2 linked regions of the Macaca mulatta genome follow. The protein of the gene in region 2 purifies or fractionates together with the protein of the main gene of each other region. This does not show direct contact. Links are inferred from orthologs where the notes say so. Each region holds a gene or a part of one and is shown on either strand. Other genes may lie near its edges.

Region 1 (3,651 bases), on a different chromosome or scaffold from region 2:
TCTGTCTCAAAAAAAAAAATGTATATGTATATATAGAATTGGTATAATGCACATATTCCAAAATCCGAAAACATCTGAAATCTGAAACACTTCTGGTCCCAAATATTTTGGACAAGGGAGACTCAACCTGTACCTACTTCAGAGGGGCCCAATGAGGAGTCAGAATTGAAAGTGCATGGTGTAGTGTTCTGCGCCCAGCAGGCATTTAGGGCCGGCTCTGGTTACTCCAGTCACTCCACATGCACATTCTGGCTCTGGTCCTCAGGGGTATAACACCCTGTGCTGGCTGCAGGGGGGTGGGCAGCTCCAGCTCAGTGTGGAGGAAGGTGAGGCAGACCTAGATCCCTGCCCTCAAGGATCTAGCAACAAGTAAACAGACCAGATCCCCACTCTTGGGAACTCTTGCTGGGGGAGAGACAGAAAACATTAAAAACCATAAATAAGAGCAGGGCTCGGTGGCTCAGGCCTGTAATCCCAGCACTTTGGGAGGTTGAGGCAGGTGGATTACCTGAGGTCAGGAGTTTGATACCAGCTGACCAACATGGAGAAACCCCATCTCTACTAAAAGTACAAAAATTAGCTGGGCATGGTGGCGCATACCTGTAATCCCAGCTACTCAGGAAGGCTGGGGCAGGAAAATCGCTTGAACCTGGGAGGTGGAGGTTGCAGTGAGCCAAGATCATGCCATTGTATTCCAGCCTGGGCAACAAGAGCGAATCTCTGTCTCAAAAAAAAAAAAAAAAACCACCATAAATAAGAAAACCAACCAGTGTGGTGGCTCACACCTGTAATCCCAGCACTTTGGGAGGTCGGGGCAGGCAGATTATTTGAGGTCAGGGGTTCGAGACCAGCCTGACCAACATGGAGAAACCCCGTCTCTACTAAAAATACAGAAAATTAGCCGGGTGTGGTAGCGCATACCTATAATCCCAGCTACTCGGGAGGCTGAGGCGGGAGAATCACTTGAACCTGTGAGGCAGGAGGTTGCGGTGAGCTGAGACTGTGCCATTGCGCTCCAGCCTGGGCAACAAGAGCAAAACTCAGTCTCAAAAAAAAAAAAAAAAGAAAAAACCAGTGCAGGAAAGAAAGTACTGGAGTGGGTGTTCAGGGATGGGCTCTCTGAAGTGACATTTGAGCTGAGGCCTGAAGATCATGATGGTGGGAGCCAGAGGGATGGTACCTGGAGGAGGAGTTCCAGGCAGAGGCGACAGCACACGGAGAGATGCTGAGGAGGGAGCCCTCTGCTTTGCCTCTGAACCTTGGTTTCCGCATGTATATAGTGAGGAGCATCCAGGTGCACTGGCCCGCAGGGTTGCTGTAGGGAGGAGGGAGGGAGGCTCTGCTCCATGCAATGCCTGGACCCAGCCGTGTGTGAGGAAAACAGCGGGAGTTGAGAATCAGAATCAGGAGCAAGGGAGGAGAGTGGCAGGCACTCCACAGACCCTGACCCAGCAGATGCCATGGAATCTTGACTCAGATGCTGCGGGGCGGGGAGGGCCTTTGGAGGGTGGGAACCTGGAAGGAGAAGCTGCTGGAAATGCTGAGGCCCTGTTGCCTCCTGGGCAGTGTCGGGGCAGCAGGAACTTTGTTATGTGGAGTTCTCCTTATACGGCTGGCTCTGCCAAGCTGCCCTTCTCCCTGAAATGTGCCTCATAGGAAATGGGGTTTCGGGAGCTTCCCGGAGAACATGAGAGGGCAGTGCCCAGGGGCCCCTCTTCCCATTGCTGGGTGGCGTGGTGGAGAGAACCCAGCTGTGACTCTCGATGTATGACCTTGGATGTGATTTAGCCTCTCTGGGCCTTGGCCCCGCTGAATCATGTGATCAGAGCACCAAGCCTGCCTCCCACGCTGGTCTGAGCTGCTTGAGGGCCATCTAGGTCCTCCTTGTCCCAAGCCAGAGGTCGCCTCTCCCAGGCTAAGCCGTGGCTGTGGGGATGGCAGTACAGCACCCGGACTTTGGAACACAATACTGGCCACTCTTGGCTGCTGATCTTGACCCTCTATCTCCCCCTTTGTGAATGGGGGGAGTGACAGCATCTTTTGAAGTGTACAGCACAGGAGAGGCACCAGACCACTGAGTCAGACCCTCCTCTGACTGCTTCTTAGCTGTGTGACTTTGGACAAGCTCCTTGCCCTCTCTGTGCCTCAGCTTCCTTGTTGGTAAAATGTGGATTACATTAGCACCTACCTCGTAAAGTCGTGAAGAGGACTGAGATAATCTGTGTAAAGGTTTTAGCACATAATCTGTGCTCAGGAAATATGAGTTGGGGTATCATGGCCTCAAAGGGGGGTTAGGAGGACTAAAAGTAGACCATTGAGCTGACAGCCTGGTCCATTTTAGCTCAGTGGGAGGATGAGGTCTGGGGGTAAAGTGTACCTAGTCCCTGCCTTCCTATGGCCTACCAGGAACTTCATGCCCAACCCAGCCAGGGCAGGGGAACCAAGTAAACCCCTTCACCTCTTTGATCTTCAGTTTCCTCCTCTGTGCTCACATCCTAGGTAGGGAGCAGTAGAGGCAACATTGATAAAGGGCCTGATGCCCCTAGTGATGCCTCTGATGCCCCTAGTGGCTGCTCTCCCAGCAACAGGTCAGGTGGCCACAATGACAGCAATAGTCCCTAACGGACTGAGCATCTGCTGTGTGCCAGGACTATGCTACAGCTTTTATGTGCATTTTCTGGTTGAATTCTCAGAACAATCCCGTAGATAGTAGAGCTGTTATCCCATTTTATGCAGCACTTAAGCGGTACAGTTGGGCTTTGAACCCAGGCAGCCAGGCTCTGGAGCCCATAAGCGTCAGTTCTTGTCCTCACCCATGGCTGGGTTTGGGCTACAGCCAGGCTGATCTCTTCCCTGGGTCCCCTCCTCACTCCCCCAGATCAAAGAGCCAGCCGAGAAGCAAAAGTTCTTCCAGGAGCTGAGCAAGAGCCTGGATGCGTTCCCTGAGGATTTCTGTCGGCACAAGGTGCTGCCCCAGCTGCTGACCGCCTTCGAGTTCGGCAATGCTGGGGCCGTTGTCCTCACGCCCCTCTTCAAGGTGAGTGGAGCTGTGGGACCCAGAAGGCTGGCTAGGTGCACAGGAACTGCCAAAGAGAAGGCCCTGGGGTAGGGCAGCCTAGTTAGGGCAGACCCAAGCCCATATGTGCAGGAGCTTCCTGCCAGCGTCTATAAACAGGCACCTGACCAGCTGTCCCCTGGGGAGGAGAGACTCTGCCCCTAAAATCCTTTTCCCACAAACTTCTGGTTTCACAACCCTCAGCCCTTCCTCCATTTCCCTGGGTCTGACCTGTGCACCCTGGTTCCCAGGGCCCAGGGGATTACCTACTCACCACCCCACTTTGCCATCTCCCTCCTGACTGCTTAGCACTCAGCTCACCTGACTTCTGGGGGCTGGATCTTCCACCCCTTCCTCAGACCCCAGCCCACCTTTTTATGGGCGCCGGCCAGTCCCTGCCCTCCTCACCTTGGGGAGAACCCTTTCACCTGAAAGTCTTGCTAGGAGGGGAGAAGACAACAAGCAAGTCCTGTATAGCTAAGAACCCCCAGAAATTGCAGGCAGAATTTCTGCATATGGCATAAAGGTACCTCCTTGTAGGGGGTGGCCCAGAGCTTTCATCAGCCTCCTGAAAGAGGCCGTGGCCCAGAAAGGTT
Region 2 (3,651 bases):
AGGGGTTAAGTTCTGGGGAGTGAAGTCATGGATTTTCAACCGCACGCAGGGTCGGTACCCCTAACCCACATGGTTCAAGGGTCAACTGTAAAGGTTAAGCTGTGCTGCTCAAAGTGGAAGTGGAACTCCTACTGATCTGGCCTCCCTCTCCTCCCTTTGACCCTGCCTGTTAACACTGCATTAAAACCACAAGCTACTGTCCTCATTCATTCAGTATATCATAAGCTTTAATCAAGAAAATCACTGCTTTATGATTCACTTTGTCTTTTCCTATAACATTGGTAAATCAAAGTATAACAAATCTTTCAATGTTTTTATCTTTTTCCAGAAAGATAAAGCTAAGGACATAAAGAGCAAATATTCTCTTTTCCTAATGTAGAGCTTGCCTTGCTTCAGTACCATGACAGGTAGTTTGGTTTAACAAGATGCTTGGGAGTTCTAATCCCAACTTGGCCGGTAACCAGCCATGCAATGCTAAGAAATTCAAGCTCTGTGTCTTCAATTCTGGTGGGCTGCTTGACATCTCTGCTTCTCAGTTTTCCCAGCCATCATCTGTTCTGCCCTACCTATGTCATAGACTTTCTAAGTCTAGTGCAATCTCCATGAGCGGGGGAATTCAGTCTATTTTGTTCATAAATATACTCCCATAGCAGCTAGAGCAATGCCAGGCACTCATGGCAGGGTCTCAAAAAAATATTTGTCAAATTAATGAAAAAAGTCAAAATAGAGAGTATTCTAGATAGTTAACAGTTATATTCAAATGTAATCTCTGCTGATTAAGCACCAATCAAAAACATAACAGACAAAAGGACATTAATTTTTTTGTTTTTCAAGATTTTATGTTTACTTTTGCTATAACAAAACGTAAAAAGACTCCATCAATCCTATCAGCAATTTGTTCTGTTTTAAAACAGGCAGAGTACCTGTTAACTTTGCTATCAATCAAGACCATTTATTACCTATGGAAAAAATATTCTTCATTTAAGTATACGAAGGTTATCTGCTGGTCTGGAAATATGGAAGTTTCCACGTGAAATAGTAAAAGATACTAAGAAGCCACATTTTATGACACCAAACATTTGGTAATTTAAATAAAATTATTAGTTCTTTTCACATTCCACATAATCTAAAACTTCACATACTTTTGATCATTCGTTTTTCTCTAACATCTAAATTGTCCAAAAAAAAAAAAAAAATCTGTATTCTGGATATACTTTATTGTGCAAATACAGAATACACTAAGCCTAAACCTATACTAATGATTAAAAATACTCAAAAAATACTATCTCCTAAAAATACTTTATAAAACAACCATATCACCAAGATTGTTCCTGTTACTTTACAGCTTGTTAGATGACTCAAATAGAAGTTTCAGTAACAGATACACATGTGTAAGTAAACTTTGAGTGACAGAGAAATAGAACAAATCTCCCTAGAGAGCTTAAAACCAATTTATATCTAAAATACAATCTCTTTGACCAAATGAGAGAGATGATTTCAAAAAGTAGATCATAAATACAACTTTAAGAATCTAGAAAACAGATCTATTATAACAATATATTGTCTAGTTTTACCATATCAGAGAAGGTCTCCTGCTGAACAAATGAAAACCACCAATTTGAAGAGAAATACAAAAGTGTTCCTACTTCATCTGGATGATATCACTCACATGGGGATAATATTGTTGAGTTTGAACTCTCGGCATCTCGTGGTGGCCAACTGGTCCAGGCCTGCCCTTGGGCAGCTGCTGTTTCTCATATGGAATTTTAGGTGATTCATGTCCTGCTACAGGCTCTCCTTGTGCTCTACAAAGTCTGTCACGAAGCTGCACGATATTTGGCTAAAAAGGAATGGAAAAACAGCAGACTGTTAGAGTTCACCCAGATATATGACAGCACGTTAATCTTCTTAATCAGATTATTCATCAAGATAACCCTTTTTGTTCATAATGCTGGGTATTATACAATAGACTCTGACACACAGATTTGACATTGTGCTTTCTACTACTCAAGACTGGCACCAAAGGTCCATGACATACAGTGCAACTTGTAATTTAACGGAGGCAGAGATTTGAATTATACCTACCTCATGGTTACTATGCAAGACCAGTATCACTTATCACTAGTACTCTTTTGATGTTTTTTTGTGGTTACCTAATGCTCATAAATCACAAAACTACTTTAAAAACTATAACTAAGGCCAGAGGCGGTGACTCACGCCTGTAATCCCAGCACTTTGGGAGGCCGAGGTAGGAAGATAATGAGGTCAGGAGATCAAGACCATCCTGGCTAACACGGTGAAACCCCGTCTCTACTAAAAATACAAAAAATTAGCTGTGTGTGGTGGCGGGCGCCTGTAGTCCCAGCTACTGGGAAGGCTGAGAATGGAGGCAAGAGAATGGAGTGAACCCGGGAGGCGGAGCTTGCAGTGAGCCAAGAACGCGCCACTGCTCCAGTCTGGGTGACAGAGTAAGATTCCGTCTCAAAAAATAAAAAACAACTATAACTAAAAGAGGCCACCAAAGAGAATCAACTACTAAAGATGGTTATTGAAGAAAATGGTGATTTAAGAAAGAGATGAAAATGTTAAAAGAGATTTTTGAAATAAAGAGTAAGATGTGAAATTCAGATCTGTAGCTCATATAGATCTACATGCATAGAGACTTACAAAAGTATGAGGTGATCATATATATGCTCTAAGTATTAACAAATAACAAAAAGGCAATGTGTTAAAATGTTTCAGCAAGATTTTAGTATCTTTAAAAATTATACATTCCTATACATTTGTTAAAGGTTTAAAGGGATCATTTAAGTGTTTTAGGCATATTTTATTTGCCTTTTACAGGGGAGAATTATATATTACAATGCCATCACAAAGTTTCAGGACATACTTCCCCCAACAAAAAAGGCAGGGTCTACTGAGATAAATAGGAAATAACATCAAAATTATGCTTTTTGGCCTAAAGAATGTTCTTTAAAGTCCAAAAAAAAGAGCATGAAGAATAATGTATAGAAAATGGATGTGCTTATAAATGGTACTGAAAATGAATTAATCTTAAGCTAGATGAGCTAGGGGTCTTAAGGTAAATTAGTCTTAAGATAAAAATTCTTATAATGTATCTCAATATAACTATTTACTTACAACTTTTTACTTACTAAGTAAAAAGTCTTAACAAAATTAGTATGCCAAAGTCACCCTAAAGGAAAAGATTATGTATCATCTATTCTACCTAACATTCCCATCAACAATTCAGAAACGAATGAGACGGATCTTATAGTTAGTGTTTACAAAACCAACTAGAGAGTCATACCTCCATAGTCCTGGAGAATATTATGTACTTTTACCCAATGAAATTTATCAATACTTCCCTAAAACAGACAAAATACTAAAAACAATTGACTAAAAAAAAAAAAACAAAACCAAAAACATAAAAAACAGAATAAAGTGATTAATAAAAAAGTATAGAGACAAGACAGTATCTGCAAGGCTCAAAATCAAGCTCCATCAGACACAAAATGCAGATATATTCTTGTGGAAAAGTTTCCTCAAACCTCACCCGTACTTCTACCTATGTTCCACGACTGGGTTTGGGTTCCCCTTTATTGTGTTCCACAGCATCAATACCCTTATTACAGTACTTATATCACACTT

The links. The genes of interacting proteins can lie anywhere in the genome.
Region 1: the proteins of SEC31A (region 2) and SCYL1 purify together in Homo sapiens (affinity purification with mass spectrometry; 3 studies listed by BioGRID and IntAct, counting the BioPlex papers as one, with this or other methods). This does not show direct contact. The link is inferred for Macaca mulatta from reciprocal best matches to the Homo sapiens genes SEC31A and SCYL1.

The regions. Positions count from the first base shown.
Region 1 is NC_133419.1:8,863,957-8,867,607, reverse strand, and holds part of SCYL1 (N-terminal kinase-like protein), read left to right. Parts: intron 1-2,878; coding exon 2,879-3,037; intron 3,038-3,651. UniProt on the Homo sapiens protein: Regulates COPI-mediated retrograde protein traffic at the interface between the Golgi apparatus and the endoplasmic reticulum. Involved in the maintenance of the Golgi apparatus morphology.
Region 2 is NC_133410.1:50,932,624-50,936,274, reverse strand, and holds part of SEC31A (protein transport protein Sec31A), read right to left. Parts: intron 1,841-3,651; coding exon 1,670-1,840; intron 1-1,669. UniProt on the Homo sapiens protein: Component of the coat protein complex II (COPII) which promotes the formation of transport vesicles from the endoplasmic reticulum (ER).